2 linked regions of the Tamandua tetradactyla genome follow. The protein of the gene in region 2 binds, or shares a complex with, the protein of the main gene of each other region. Links are inferred from orthologs where the notes say so. Each region holds a gene or a part of one and is shown on either strand. Other genes may lie near its edges.

Evidence for each region. The genes of interacting proteins can lie anywhere in the genome.
Region 1: TMEM67 (region 2) and TMEM107 share a complex: the UniProt entries of both Homo sapiens proteins name them as parts of the tectonic-like complex. The link is inferred for Tamandua tetradactyla from reciprocal best matches to the Homo sapiens genes TMEM67 and TMEM107.

The regions. Positions count from the first base shown.
Region 1 is NC_135332.1:62,012,289-62,020,224, reverse strand, and holds TMEM107 (transmembrane protein 107), read left to right. Parts: upstream 1-4,547; 5' UTR 4,548-4,727; coding exon 4,728-4,814; intron 4,815-5,019; coding exon 5,020-5,087; intron 5,088-5,185; coding exon 5,186-5,286; intron 5,287-6,029; coding exon 6,030-6,126; intron 6,127-6,362; coding exon 6,363-6,432; 3' UTR 6,433-7,160; downstream 7,161-7,936. UniProt on the Homo sapiens protein: Plays a role in cilia formation and embryonic patterning. Requires for normal Sonic hedgehog (Shh) signaling in the neural tube and acts in combination with GLI2 and GLI3 to pattern ventral and intermediate neuronal cell types.
Region 2 is NC_135332.1:137,076,473-137,084,968, forward strand, and holds the start of TMEM67 (meckelin), read left to right. Parts: upstream 1-4,838; 5' UTR 4,839-4,883; coding exon 4,884-5,109; intron 5,110-8,496. UniProt on the Homo sapiens protein: Required for ciliary structure and function. Part of the tectonic-like complex which is required for tissue-specific ciliogenesis and may regulate ciliary membrane composition.

The DNA of each region.
Region 1 (7,936 bases), about 75 Mb from region 2:
TATATTGGAGTAGACAGAGGGAAATTCCTGAAATCTCTTAATTATAATCCAGCTGTCATGGCATCTGAAATTATTGTAAAAGCCTTCACCTTGTGACTTCGTAACTCTAAAAGCTGTTACGCCCTTTATCTGGTCATTTAGTTATAAGGCAAAGGTCCTAATGCTAATGAAGAATTTGAAGTCAGCCATTAACTAGCTTCAGCTCCTGATATTTGTACATCCTATTAGCTAGATTCTGCTATTGAAAGATAACTTGTCTCCATTTCTTTTGGCTTACACTTTTTGTACTGAAGTCGTTAGCCTGCCTCCTTTCCTTTCAATTTATATTCTTCTATGGAAATATTGATAACATTGTCTCCTTTTCTGCTTTGAACTTGCTACTCGAAATGACCACATCTCCCCTTGCTAAAGTCCTTAAAAACCTTGAACCTCCCTAAACTTGGGTAGATAGATTTTGGGTCACCAGGCCATCTGTTCTCCTACTATATGCCCAGTAGAAACTCTTTTCTCTCTGAAACCCAGCTGTCTCAGGAACTGGTTATTGAGTGCGTCAGACAAGATAATCCACTGCCTTTCTCTGGTAACATGATGGCCAATGGATGCTTGAATCATGAGGTGAAAAAATGATGGCAAATTTATAATGACTGCATCATCAGTCTGACTGCAACTGAACCCAGTGCTCAATCCTAACACCAGAAAAAGACAAGCAGCCATCCTGATGTGATGGAATAGGAAGTACCACAACCAGGATGTATTTTCACTAGAAATTGAACCTAAGACTGAAGAGCCAAACATTAGACAGTTTACAGGGTTTTAAGAATATGTTAAATGACAGCACAAGAATACAGCCCACAAAATGGCCCAGTTTCTTCAAAAAATAAATTGCAAGAAAATAAAAAGAGGAAGAGGAAAACGTAAGATTAAACGAGATTTAAGACCATGCCTGGGAAAGAGATTCGATTTCTGGCCCATGTAACCCGGCTCCTGCCCCCACCCCATCCCACCCCCCAAAAAAGAGAGATTTAAGAGTCATATCAATCAAATGCAATGTCTGGACTTTACTTCGATCTTGATTTGAGCAAACTAACCGTAAAAAAAAAAAAAAAAAGGTATGAGTGAAATAAGACAGACACAAAACTAAAAATATTGCATGATCTCACACATGAAATAATTAGAATATGCAAATTAAGAGTCATGAACTAGAATACAGGTTACCAAAGGAAGGGGTAGGGAATGTGAAGTTAAGGTTTAATGGGTAGGAGGTTTCTATTTGGGGTGATAAAGAAGTTTTGGTTATGAATGGTGGCGATATTAACACACTATGAATATAATTACAATGCTGAATGGTGTCCTTGAAAGTGGCTAAAATGGGAAATTTTATATTGTATATATGTTATCACAACTTAAAGAAAAATCCATAGAACTATATACAACATAACAAGTGAAGCCTAAACTATGGAGATTAGTTAATAGTGTAATTATAATATTGGTTCATCAATTATAACAAAATTACCACACCAATGCAAAGTGTTAATAATAAGGAAAACCATTGGGGGGAATATATGGAAACTCTACTTTCTGCCTAATTTTTCTGTAAACCTACAACTGCTCTAAAAAATAAACAAAAACAAAAAATTATATATATATATGTGTGTGTGTGTGTGTGTGTGTATGAGACAGTAGGCCAGTATGGACTATTTGATGATATCTGGGATTTGCTTCAAAATAACTGAGTGGTGTGGAATAGATGAAATAAGGCTGGCCATGTGTTGACAATTTTTGGAGCAGGAGGATGGATTCAGAAGGGTTCATTACCTTATTCTCTTTATATAAACATATTATACTATACATGTTTGAAATTTTCCATTATAAAAAAGTTTTGTTTTGGGGTACATGGGCTGGGAATCAAAAAAAATTTTTTTAAGTTCTTGTATTTCCAGTTCATTGTTAGGACTTGTGGACTGTAGCCCTGGAGGGCTAACTGGAGGACACCTGGTTAACTAGCAGGCCCTTCTAAGGTTGCAGATTATCTTTAAAACTCACTTTTGTGAAAACGCTAGCGATGGCTTCATCTATCTAGGGTAGGCTTCTGTGAACCCAGGTCACAGAAAATGATGCATACCTACAATGTCCGTTTAGTATTTATTGATTTACAATAGGGAACGTGACTGTTCAATTCTGACTTTCTAATAGAGCCTCTAGGCAGGAAGCGTATTGTAAGCAAAACACCCCAAACTTCCAGCTGCTGGAGCCTAAAATCTTACAGTTACCCTTGACTGTTCTCTTTTCTCACCTGCCCAAAGCCCCCACATCCAAACTTTCTTATATTCTATACAGCTCTTGATTCCCTCTGTTTCTCCACTTTTTGCCTTCTCCCTAGTCCAAGCCCCATCATACTCCCTCCTGGACACTTCTACCGCATCCTCACTAGCCTTCTGCTTATAGTCTTACTCCCTTAAAGTCTATTCCCCACATTGCAAACAGAGACATCTGAAATACACATCCATTGATGCCCCTCTCCGTAGCTGCAAGGCGTGACATGAACTGGCTTTTGCCCTTGTCCACCTCTCCAACCCCACCCTTCTCTTCTCTTACCCTTCCATTACTAGCCTTCAGACATACTGGCTTCCTTTCTGTTCGCTGGGCTTGATCCATTCTGAAGATCTTTACACTTGCTGGTCCCTCAGTCTGAAAGGCTCCTTCCCCAGAGCTTTACATGGCTGACTCCTTTTCTTCATTCCCTTTGTTCCAGGGGACTTTGAAGATTTTGCAAATACCATATCCTGGACCTTTTGTCGCTTAGGCCTTACAACAGAGCTTCCAACATCTGTGAGGAGTCAATTTTGCAACTGTCACTGGGGAAGCTTGGCTCTGAAGGCCTGAACTTTCAGGAGAAAATGCATGTCAGTTACAGTGAAGGGAAGAAAAACGTCCTGACATCTTTTCTACGCTATTTGCACACTTGTGACGCTGTAATATCTGTGCTGGAGAATACAGGAACCACTTCTCATTGTGGGGTCATCAGGATCATTCATTTTAGGAGTCAAATAGCAAAGGGTTACCTCAAGGGAGACAAACAGTTGTGTTTACAGTACTTGATTTTTCCTGTTCACCCTGAGATGAGGGGAGGTTTGGAAATACTTGCAGAACTTAGAAATGGTAACAGTTAAGGAGAGAACCTCCCCTACAAACCTGTGAGTGGAGACCAGTGTAAGCAATATTTGATTTGTTACCTTGAGTAGAAAATAAAAGGACTTTGCTAAATATCTCCCTTTGTAAAACTAAGTGCTCAGAAAAATCTAAAAAATTTTCCATTTATGGGGATAAAAGCTAATTTAGTGCTGCTCACTAAAGAGGTAGTTTCTATGAAAATGCCATTACATAGCTTCAGTATATAGGAAAGCAACATTTAACGGCTCTCAAATCCGAGATATCATTCCTTCTTTTTTTATAAAGCAATTTAATGTCTCAATTATAATACTGTGTAAGACTCAAAAGGAAAACTTAAGAGGCTTACTGTTTTAATCTTTTCGTTTAAAAATAATTTGATTTACAGAAAAGTTGCAAAAAACAGTACAAAGAATTCCCATGCCTTCACCCAGAACACATTCGCTTTACCGTTTTTCTCTATATAGACAAACACATACACACACACACGCACATAAATATTTTCTAAACCATGTGAGAGACAGTTAAAAAAAAAAAAAAAGAAGCGCATTTATTAATTTGCGGGCCTGGAAGAGAGAAAGCATTTTGCCACACTTTTGGCCAAATTCCCTAAAATATTTGTTTAACATTATGTTTAAGAACAAAAGACCCACTTTCAAAGTGCATTTCCTTGGTCATATTATTCTAGTGTTTTCCTATTACCGTGTGTTTGCCGTCGATGTCCCTGATTAGAATATAAATGCACGAAAGTAGGAACATTTGTTCTCCAATGTACTCCTAGGGCCCGTACAATGCTTAGTACTTACTAGGCGGCCAATAAATATCTGTTGAATTAAGACATTAGAAAGGCCTTTTGGGCTTGTAGCCCAGAACAAGGCTTAAAGGCAGAAATGGGAATGGGGGTTCTGCTGGGAGGTGGGCAGGGACCTTGTGAGAAAACAGCACTCCGGGGAGGGCTTTCCCAAATCTGCAAGGATCCCCTAGAGGCCCAAACGTCAGTGAGGTCGCCGACAGTGAGCGGTCTTTGGACTGCCAGGGGAAGGAGGGGTGCCGGACACTCCGAGGAAATCGCGCGCTTAGTCTGCCTCCCTACCTCAGAGCCTCCTGAGGACGCAGGGCCGGTTCCATTCCCTTCCTCCACCCGCCTCTCCCCTCTCCAGGCCCTGCCATCCACTCTCTTATAGAAACACGCCTCTTATCCGTATCTTTCTTCAAGAGAGCTGGCTGTTTCTCGCACTCTGCAAATCTCTCCCTAAACCGAACAAGGTTGTTGGTGACTTGCCTCCGGAGGAATGGATCAGGCTTCCTCACGTGGGTGAAGTTTGAGGACTCGAGCGGCTCGAGACTTCCCTGCTCTCGCGAGATTTCCAGCGAGCAGGGCGGTGCGCCCGCTCACGCCGTTGCCAGGACAACTGGGCGGGGCCAGCGCCGGCGGGAGTAAAGAGGCCGAAGAGTTTTTGTCCGCTCGTGCGGGGCTTTTTTATTAGTGGCCAGCCCAGAGTTTCCAGCCTCAGAGACTACAGCCTCTGCTCGGGGCGGTACCCCTGTCCTCGGGCACCATGGGCCGGATCTCAGGGCTCGTGCCCTCTCGCTTCCTGACGCTCATGGCGCATATGGTGGTCGTCATTACTTTATTCTGGTCTCGGGTAAGACCCACCGCTGCTCCTCTCCCACCTTCCAGCCCCGCCCCGCCCGGTCCTGCCCCGCTCCGCCCCGCCCGGTCCTGCCCCGCCCCTTCCCAGGACTACCTGCTTGGGTGCTTCAACCCCCGAGCCGGTACCCTACTCCCCAGGCTGCTCCGCATCCCGCCTCTCTTTCATATTTCTCTTCCTCTCCATGGCGGTTCCCCAGGACAGCAACATCCAGGCCTGCCTGCCTCTCAAGTTCACCCCCGAGGAGTATGAGAATCAGGACATTCAGTGAGCTCTTGGGGCGGGTGATCAAAATGAAGCGGTGGTGGAAGTGGAGGGGTCTTAGAAGTCCAGAAGTCCTGAGTCAACCCCCTTCCTCTCTGCAGGCTGGTGGCAGCGCTCTCTGTCACCCTGGGCCTCTTTGCAGTGGAGCTGGCCGGCTTTTTCTCAGGAGTTTCCATGTTCAACAACACCCAGAGCCTCATCTGTATCCTTTCTGCCTGTACACCTTACCTACACTGCCCATTCCATCACGACCCCTCTAACCAGGCTTTACTAGCACAGAGGGCTGCCTGGCAGGCAAACAGAATTTCTCCAGTTGACAGATCTTAGGCAATGTGGGGCATTTAATACAATCTGCAAACATTTGTTAAGCCTCTTCTATATACAAGGCACTAGAGAACCAGAATGAGAGTAAAACACAGTTTTCTACTGTGAGGAGGAAGCAGACACAAAAACATCTCTAATTCCGTGGGATAGCACTGTGCTGTGGGAGTGCATAAAGATATAAAAAGCACTATGGGAACTCAGAAGAGAGAGAGGAAGTGCAGAACATGGTTCAAAGAAGGCTCCTGATAGCTGAATTGTGGGCCTGGAGGAGCAGGGTGGTGGAGTATGTTTCAAGTAGAGTGTATCAAGGGGCTGTGAGCATTTCTGTCTGTGGTCTGGGGGTGTGTGGGGTACTTTCTGAAGGCCAGGCTGTCCCCTAGATATGTGTTGGGATACCCTGGAGTCCCAGCTGTGCAGGCTTACCTCTGGCTTCTACTCACCTGGCTGTCTTAAAACTCAGGAGACAGGGCTGCTGTCTCTGGCCCTTGTAGAGTGGTGGGAGCAAGAGATTAACTTGAGAGCAGGTGCTAGCCGCCGCTACCTCCACCCCAGGCCTTTTCTAGTCCATCACTACCTGTCCATCCATCCAAAGGTTTTCCTTGACTTTGGTGTGTTCCCAAGCCATCGGGGCACACTGTAGTGCATCCGTGGCCCTGTCCTTCTTCATATTCGAGCGTTGGGAGTGCACAACGTACTGGTACATTTTTGTCTTCTGCAGGTGCGATAGCACCCAGTATTTGGGGATGTGGGAGGAAGGTTTTCCCTGTGCAGCCAATTCCCCCTGGTGTCAGACACCAGATCCACTCAACATCCTGTGGTCTTTTGAAGTCTCTTCACCCCCCACTCCTTACACTTTGGGTGGAGTCTCTGGTTTGGGATTTTGGGTATTTTTATTGGAAGGGATCCTGAATCCACCGCCAATTGCTCCCTCCTTCTCCCCCCGCCCCACCCCAGCGCCGTTCCAGCCGTATCTGAAATGGCATTATTCGTCGCTGTCTTTGGGCTGAAAAAGAAGCCTTTCTGATCACCTCCATGACGAGAATGTTGGAACGAAGGCTGGAGGAGCAAGGGGCCGTACACGGGTCGTGAAAGAAGACGACGTAGGCTTCTCACTCTGAAACTGCACCTGGTGGAAGATGTGTATTGTGGTAATTAGCTCCCTATTCTAGGATTATTAGCGTTTTATTTCGTGCTTTATAATAAAAGATATTTTATAATAAGATCAAGACATGATAAAAATTTCAGAAGAGAATGAGGATGGTCAAATTACTGGAGAAAAGCAATTTTTTCTAGAATTACCGTTTTATTTTAGTTATTACGGTAGACATTTGGCGGGAGGGGATGGGTGGAGCTATGTAAATAAGGGAGCGGTCGGCCGCCCAGCGGTGAAAGGAGCAGTATGGGAGGAATTGGTGTATCCCTTTTCTGTGAGCCGGCAGTATGAGAACAATGTAAAAGAAAAGTAGCAGTAGAAATGTAAATTTCATGTAAGTTCCTAAACACCTTTAGGTTGACTAGGCTTAGACGTTATATACACACCCTCTGTAAAAGCGGAATCTTTTAAACAGTGCAGCGTGGTAGGAGGTTTTTGTTTTATCGTTAGGAGGGTTAATCCTGACCTGTTCCTCTTTCGGGAGGGCAGATTGGATATGTGATGATTGGAGTTGGCATGATACGTGATTAGCGTTCTGCGTAATCAGGGCTTGCAACACCCTGGTTGCTCCTATCTGATACCCCTAACGATCGCTTGTGGGTTTTTTTGTTTCGTTTTAGTTAGTTTGCGGTACGTCTTTGTTTTTTTTTTCAATTTGGAGTGAGTTATCATAGTATGGTTAGTGGGGGTTTGATTTGGACTTGTTTGTTCGTTCTGTTATGTCGTGCAGGAGGCGATGTAGTTTTATGTGCGACTTGTTTGTTACTTGTGGGTGACTCTGGTTATACGGAAACGTATAGATTCTTCTCCGATATTATTCGGTGTCTGTTGTCTTTTACAATCTTAAATGAGTAGTGGGTCAAGATGCCCACTTCTGATTTCCTGTAAAATGGTGGTGTCGTCGGTGTCGCATAAGGCTGTCGAAGTCTTTCTTGTCACCACGGTAGGAGGGCAATTTGCACGGAGTGGGAAGCCATTCATGGTCATGGTCGTAGCATTTAGTGTAAACTCCACTTCCATTCCTGCATAATAAGAACATGGAAAGAACATGTTCAAATGAAAGTTAATGAAACATAGTAGGTGTTATGCAGACAAATTACAACAAGATGTATAAAGTTCCACCATTTCACAGAAGCAATGCTGTCAGAGTCCAACCCTGATAATGGTAGAGCCCAGGTGACTCCAAAGAAACAAAGGGCAGCCAAGGAGTTGCTTCCTTACCATGCTCCTCAGGTGAGGGCCCCTGGTGCCTCACATATTTTTTTCTTTTGGTTTTCATCCCTTGCCCTGCAGCCTTTAATCCTTCATTCAATAAAGACTTAACAAGTTCTTGTTATAGGCAAAGCGCTGTGATAGGTACCAAGGGTATAGTTGT
Region 2 (8,496 bases):
TACTAGATCAAGGCCTCCTAACAACCCAAAAGAGATCCTGAAGCAAATAAACCTGTCTGTATGGGATGAAGGCATCCCAGGACTAGCCCATGAGTAGCCACTCTCTGCATTCAAATTTCCAGTCCTAGATCTTACAAATGCCTTTTTTGTATTCCTCTTCACCCTGGATCTCAATACCTACTTGCTGTTGAATGCCAAGGACATAAGAATAAGATTTCTGCCCTACTCACTTAGGCAATGCTACCCCATGGGTTTCAAAATAGACCCCATATCTTTAAGGATGGTTTAGCAGCAGACCTTACTAACCTCCAGTTGCCTCAAAGCACAGTCTGACATATTCCTAGCATGAAAGTGGATCTTATTTGAAGTTAGTTCTGACTACAAGCCCTAGATGGATATAGAAAGTTATAGAAAGTTTGTGAAAGTATATTTTGTTTGTCGTAGGGCATTGCTATCAGTCCTGGATGGATATGGAAAGATGCAGAAGGTTTAAGCAAGTGAATTTTGTCGTCATTGCTGACTACAAACCCTGGATGGATGTAGAAAGTTGTAAAAATTTTCTCAAAATGAAAATTTAAGAAAGTAGGTTTTGTTTATAATCACTGCTGACTATAAGCCCTATGTATAAAGAGTTATAGAGGGCTTTTAAAAATATGTCTTGTCATAATTAATGCTGCTCCCTTAACCATCTGAATATTCTATCTATATGTTTATACTAACCTTATCATCCTTTATTTCAAAAGATAAGTTTTCTTACTTTTAAAAGAACTGTTGCAAAAGATTTGTTGTTTCACCTTGTGAAACTGAGGGGTTAAAATCATATTAAATATAATAACTAAGAGAGATTTTCTATCCTTTTGTTAAGTAAATTTATGTAAGTTAAATGTTATTCATATATTTACAATTTTATAAGATTCCTAAAAACTTAACAATGTTCTCACTGTCCATGTTTTATCCTGATACTGATTTGCATGATAGGAAAATTTATAGATCATTAAAAACAACTTAATTCAGCTTTATTCAACATGGAACCTAGAATAAAGAATAAAATCTTAATCATAAAATTAAAAAAAATATTTGCAAAGTCCCTTAAAGGACTAGAGAAAAATGTGAAGCTATTTAACTTCCCCACTTAGGGAATTCTTGCTATTCTCCTATGCAATAAGGGACCTGTATTTAATAAGCCAAGCCCTTGATCTTGAGGCTTTCCCTTATTTGATTTATTTCTATAATAGCAAAGTTAAGCCTTCTTATAACTAATGCCTATAACTCATCCCCAGAGATCCTCTTTTATTGCTCAGATGTAGTATCTCTCTTTAAGCCAAATTCTGCAAATAAACTCACTACCTTCTCCCTTACATGGCACATGACTTCCAGGGGTGTAAGTCTTCCTAGTAACATGAGGCAACACTTCTAAAGAAAGTCTGACCCTGTGTTATAGAATTAATTGACCAAAAAAAGAAAAATGAAATTCCAGGGGCTAAGAAATTTCAAATAGAGATGAGAAGTCATTCTAGACATTTTTATTATACAAATTTCAGCCAGAAATTGCAAACTGCCACATTAGGACAAGCCCCAATCAATAATTTTCCTAAAAACTCTAAATACTCTGAGCTCCATCTTGCTCCTGCTTCTGTTCAGACCATGTATACAATTTCTCACCCAGTTTGTTTCTTCCATATTAAAAGCCTTTCACAACAAAGTTTTCCTCACCAGAGGCTGCATGCCTGTTCCCCACACTCAACCAGCCACTCTCAATAGCATAGCCAGAGACTTTTATGCTAACACAAGTAGGGCCTGTAACCCCACTGACAGCTTGAAGCAGCTATAAAAGATGGACCATTGGCCCAAATTCTCTTAAGGGAGCTAGGAAACCTCTGAGGGGGAAATGAGGTAGGGTTAGAATTAGGGTGGTAACTGGCTAAGCACAGGGAAAACTCTAAAAAGCAGTCAGGCTTCAAGGTGGAAGATATCTCTGAGAAGAACAGCAATAAGTAGCACCTGGAGCCATATGACCTCTACCTGAGTAAGTCATTTACAGAGAAGGGTGGAGTCAACCACCCAAATGCACCACCCTGGAGAGAAGGGAGGGTAGGAGAAAGAGGCCTAAACAAAGAAGGGGAAGGGGGAGTAAGTAAAGCTAACCTATAAAAGTAGATTGCCTCACATTGTGGGGGCCTCTCGCCTCTCACCCCTCTTTTTTTGTAAAAGTGTCTGCATTCTCCTTGCCTGCATGTACTCAATTTTCTGCCTGCTTAACTCTTTGGGCTGTGCCCTTGAATTGTTTCTTGCGGCATGGCCAAGAACCTAGGAAGCCGAATCTGGCAACTGTGATTTAGCTAATCACAATTTAGGATCAAATGAGATATTACACTGCCTGGGTCATAGAAAACCAGCAATTACTATCATTTATTTTCGTTATCATCATGGTTCCTGCTACAACTAACATTTTAAATAATTCTCATATCTTTAGTTGCAACCTGTTTTTATTTTTTCTGTAATCTATTCAAATAATGTTTTCTCAAGAAACATTGATCTACCCCAGGCATCTTCTATCTTCCCTTAGTTTCACAACCATCAACAAAGCCAACTAAATCAGAAGCTTGGGAGTTATGCTGGACTATTTCTGTTTCTTTATTTCCTATATCCAAGCTATAAAGTTCTCATGATTCTTCCACTTCAATAGCTCTTTCATTCATCCTCTCCTACCTCTCTCTTCTTTCATTGCCCTAATTTAGATTCTGGATTTCTGCTTTAGCAGTCCAATTGGTCTGTAACTCTAGAGTTTTCTATGTACTTTGTCTCAGGATTACATTTTCTAAATTGCAAATCTGATCAGGTTATTCCTTAGCTTAAAGTTTTAACAAGCTTCAAACCACAGTAGGCAAATATAGGCATTCAAGAGCTTTCATTTTCATTCCTGCCTACCTTTCCAACCTCATCTCCTGTCACAGCCCATATATATTCTGCACCTCAGGGACATACAGGTACATGTTTTCCTCCTGTGTGCCTGCTCTCTTATACCTCCTCAGGGCCAGGCTGCCTCTAAGCCCATGACTTGAGATCCTACACAAAGGGTGATGCTGATGCTGTGGGACGCTGGCCTTTCTGCTGAGATGCAGGGTGCTGTTGGGCTCCTGCCTCTGAGGGAATGGCACCTGGGTCTAATGGGCTACCAGCTTCTGCTGCTGGCCTTTGAGGAACTAGAGTCACAGAAAGACCTGCCCCAGCTGAGGAGGAACCTGAGATGGAAGCTCCAGGCCTTGGGCTCCGCTGGGGGCCTGAAGGGCGGTGAGGGGACACACATCAGGATCAGGGTGGTCCCCCCATGAGGTATGGGCAGTTTGTACTTTGGCTCCCTCTGCTTGTTTTGGTTTCTTATTAAAGTCCTTTCCTCCTCACCCACACTCCCAAATCTACAATATCTCTTCCCCTGTTATCCCTTGCACACCCTATGCAGGGTTAATCCCAACCTCCATTTTAATAAATGGAGGAGCTCTTCTATGGCTTTAATTATACAGAAGACAAGGAGTAAATATTAGTGCCCTAATCACTTCCACAAAGCATATAAGAATATATACTTCATCAAGGAAGACTAGATTTGAAACCCACCCATAGCAAACGTTTGCAAATTAATCCCAACTATTTTGACCATACCCTACCTGAGTCCCCATTAATATTTACATGGCCAAATATTTTTTAAGTTGTATTCAGATAACTGATTTCCACTTCAAATTAGACACTTCAAATAACCCAGTAATTACTCAAAAATATATTTAGACTTCTTTAGAAACAGCTTTTCAAAACACATGCCTGCTATGTCATAGGGATTAGTGAGTGGGTGAATGCTGGTCTTTTGGGAAAGGCCACATTGAGGAAAAGTAGGCCTAATGGTGGTTAATGATTAAAGTTATTAACTTTCCTAGATGTATTTTCCACATGAACTAAGAATCCTTAACTAGTGACAAATCATCATTTTTATTATTATGAAATTGTTTTTTAAGCCCAAAGTCATTTCTAGGTACTATTGATAGATGAAGCAGCTTAAAAATATGCCAGGTGATTTGATTGGAGGAGAGAGACAAAATATAACTGTCAAATTAGAAGCAACAAAAACAAAAATGAGATTTAAATATAAGGAGATTAGTTTTTCTTTTGCTATCCATAAATTGGCTCTGAAAGTAATTCCAAAATGTTTTGAGGTTAACAGCCTCCAAGGATGACTGCTTTGAAAGACAACATTCATATATGTGTACATTTGATTTTTTTTAAATAGGTTTCTCCTTTATTTATTAACAAGTGGTGTAAAAAAGATGATCTTATTTTATTTACATGGTTTCCTATTCTTCAAACAAGGGAAGTAGAAAAACGTCTGGCAGGAAAGATTTTTTCTTAGTGCTTGAGCCATAGCAATGCTCCAACATTGCATACTTTTAAAATGTTATCCACAGAACCAAATACACGTTGGAATATCTTCTTTGACGTGAAATTTGCTTAGTGTGGATACATTCTGATGGAAATATTTAACAACATTATCGGAAAACAATACTTCCCCTTAATTTATGTAATGCAATCAGATATTATCATTCTCGTTCTATTTCCGACCCCCTAAATCGAATGAGTCGCTTCTCAGAGTTTGAAACAACATACTTTATTATAAGACTTGCGAGCCCTTCAGGCTCTAGGGGGAGTCTGATTTTAACCCAAGGTTTTCCACACCCGCCGGCTATGTTTGGTAACCTAGCAACCAGGCTCCGAAACGAATCCAAAATGCGAGGCGGGGATGGGGGAGGTGTGACGGGGAAGTTGTCCAATCAGCATCGCGGATTCGTCGCAGAGACCGATGGGGTGCAGAGGGGTAGACTGCTTCAGGTATCGGCACCATGGCGACGGGCGGCTGTGGGGCTGGGTTGGCAATGGCGGTTTGGTCCGCTTTGTCTTCGCCCACTGTGACTGCGTTTCTCCTTTTGGTCCTTCCGCGCGTCTTGCAAGCCCAGACCTTCTCTTTCCCCTTCCGGCAGCCGGATACTTGCGGCCACAATCAGTACTTCGATATCTCCGCGCTTTCCTGTGTCCCGTGTGGAGCCAATCAGAGGCGGGACGTCCGAGGTGAGACCTTTTGGGATGAGTTCCGGCAAAAGTAACCCTTCCTCCTTGGTGCTGTCCTTAATCCCGGCGTCGCTGAAACGCCTATTTTTTTAATCGGCGGGAAGAATATATCAGAAAAGTTAACCGCCGACGACTGAGGGGACTGTTTCCTTGGAGGATTGCTAATGAATTTGGGGAACCCGGAGTCCGCTACCCCGGGAACAGTTCTGGTTCTTCAATTTTCGGCACTAATGCCTCTCCCCTCATCCGGAGGTCTTTAGATAGCACCTGGAAAGCAGCCGAGAGAGAAAAAAAGAATAGAGAAGGTGAGACGCAGAGGAGTAGATGACAAGAAGGTTTGACAGGAGATACACATTTTGCAATTGTAATCTTTGACTGCCGTTTATCTTACTTTTCAAATCCCAGAATTTAGGGCTGGGAGGGATTGTGACTATGATCAGATCCAGTTTCCCCGTTTTACAGATAAGTAAATTGAAGATCTTCTGAAGAGGTTGTAATATCTTCTTTGCAACCTAAATTGAAGAAGTGAAGAACTCGTGTCTATTTGTCCTCAGTCTGAAACTACATATTTCCACCATACAGTGTGTCCTTAATTTAAATTTCATTAGGACTTAGCCCTTTGTATTGTTGAGTAATACTAGTTGCTCTTTAATATTTCTTTAGATTAAGCTAATTCATTTTTTGTCTCCTTACTTCCATCATTTGTCTTAGTTTGCCTCATGGACACTGTTCCATAAATCTCCCATATTCTAAATTCTCAAATATTTTATCTTGATTTGGTTATCCATGTGTATTGGTTTGCTAAAGCTGCTAGAATAAAATATAACAGAAATTGAACAGCTTTTATAAAGGGAATTTATTAACTTACAAGTCTACAATTCCAAGGCCATGAAAATGTACAAACTAAGGTGTCTTGAGAAATATACCTTGCCTCAAGAAGGGTGGATGGGTCCAAAACACCTCTGTAGGCTGGGAAGGAATGTGGTTGGATCTGTTGGGCTCTCTGGCTTCTGGTTTCAAACAGCTTCCCCAGGTGGCATTTTCTTTCCGTATCTCCAAACATCTGGGTCTCATGTTGGCTCTCACATAACTGTGTTGTCTCTGAAGCAGCTGTTGTCCAAGCTCAGCATCTGAGCTTTCTCTAAAATGTTTCCCCTTTTAAGGGACTGTTGTAAATTAATCAACACCCACCTTGAAAGGGCAGAGTCACATCTCCATCCAATCAAAAGGCCACACCCACAATTGAGGGGGTCAGTCTTCATGGTAACAATCTAACCAAAGGTTTACAATATTGAATCAGGATTAAAGGACATGGCTTTTCTGGGGTACACACTTTAAAACAAGCACACCATGGTACTAAGATGGTACTTCTGTCATCTTCAAATTTGATATATTTTCACTTGGATTATTGAACAAGACAGGTCAGGACACTCAAGTAAGGAAGTGTGAATGAGAAAACATTGAAGAGACTCTAAAGGTGTAAGGCATTAGCTTATAATTACAAATCCAGATATTGCATGCATTGTACTACAGAGACTCCTATGGGTGCTGTTTTCACTTACTGCCCTTATAGGATGCTACACCTACCTATTCAGCAAGTTGAGTAGTGTTTATAATGTTCACTATGTATCCAAGTTGAGGGAAACAGTGATTCCGTGAATTTTTTGAATCAAGGTAATTCATTCAATCTATGTATATGGATGGGTGACATGGAAATGTAAAGTTACCCACAGAAGTTTATCAATAATCTTATTTATAGTTTAATTATGCTGGTGCTTAAATTGGTAGCAAACATAATACCCACTGTGTGCTCAACCCTGTTAAAACCCTTTACATCTAATAACTAGTTTAATACTCATTCTGACCCTTTGAGGTAGGTACTAATACTACCCCATTTTGCCAAAGAAGCAGCTGAGGCACAAAGAAATTAAGTAGCAGCACTAAAATTATAACCTAAGGAGTATGTTTCTGGACTTGAACCCATGCAGTATTGGTTCCAGTGGCCTCGGTCTTTTTTTTTTGCTTGGAAGGAAAGGAACTAATGTCTTTTTTTAAAAATTTATTTATTTTTTATTTATGATCCATAACCACATACAAAGACAAGCATTCTTATCATATGATCATTCTGTTCTTGTTATATAGTCAATAACTCACACTATCTTCACATAGTTGTATATTCATCATTATGATCATTTTTAGAACATCTGCATCAATTCAGAAAAAGCAATAAAAAGAAAACAAAAAAATATTCATACATACCATACCCTTTACCCCTCCCCTTCACCGATCACCAGCATTTCAATCTACTAAATTTATTTTAACATTTTTCCCCTTATTATTTATTTATTTTTAATCCATGTGTTTTACTTGTCCGTCAATAAGGTAGACAAAAGGAGCATCAGACACAAGGCTCTCACAACCACAGTCACACTGCGACAGCCATATCATCATACAATTATCTTCAAGAAACATGGCCACCAGAGCACAGCTCCACATTTCCAGGATGTTCCCTCCAGTCTCTCCATTTCACCTTAACTAAACAGGTGATATCTATTTGATGCTTAAGAATAACCTCCAGGATAACCTCTCGACTCTGTTTGGAATCTCTCAGCCACTGACACTTTATTTTGTCTCTTTTCACTCTTCCCTCATTTGGTGGAGAAGATTTTCTCAATCCCTTGATGCTGAGTTCCAGCTCATTCTAGGATTTCTGTCCCACGTTGCCAGGAAGGTCCACACCCCTGAGACTCATGTCCCACGTAGAGAGGGGGAGGGCAGTGAGTTTGCTTGCCGTGTCAGCCAAGAGAGAGAGGCCACATCTGAATAACAGATGAGGCTCTCTTGGGGGTGACTCTTGGGCCTAATTTTAAGTAAGTTTAGCCTATCCTTTGTGGGATTAAGTTTCATATGAACAAGCCCCAAGATTGGAGGCTCGGCCTATTGCTTTGGCTGTCCACACTGCCTGTGAGAATATCAAGAATTCTCCACTTGGGGAAATTGAATTTTCCCTCTTTCTCACCATTCCCCCTAGGGGATTCTGCAAATACTTCCCTATTCACTGTTCAGATCGCTCTGGAATTTATGTGGACATCACTCTAGACATACCTACAGAATCTCATGCCCTACTCAAGGTTCCAAGTACTATGGTGTTCAATTAAGCTGTCCACATAAATTATGTTAGGAAATGCACTAGTCAAAATATAAATTTTGTACCAAATAAACATTTTTTTTGTCTCACACATACATTAAAGTTTTAAAATATTAATTACCGTCTATTTTCAACACCCTGCATTATTGACATTCCTTTGTTCTTCCTTATGCAGAAACATTTTTAAATTTTCACATTTAGTCACTATTATTATAAATGCTAGGCATTTCTAGATTATA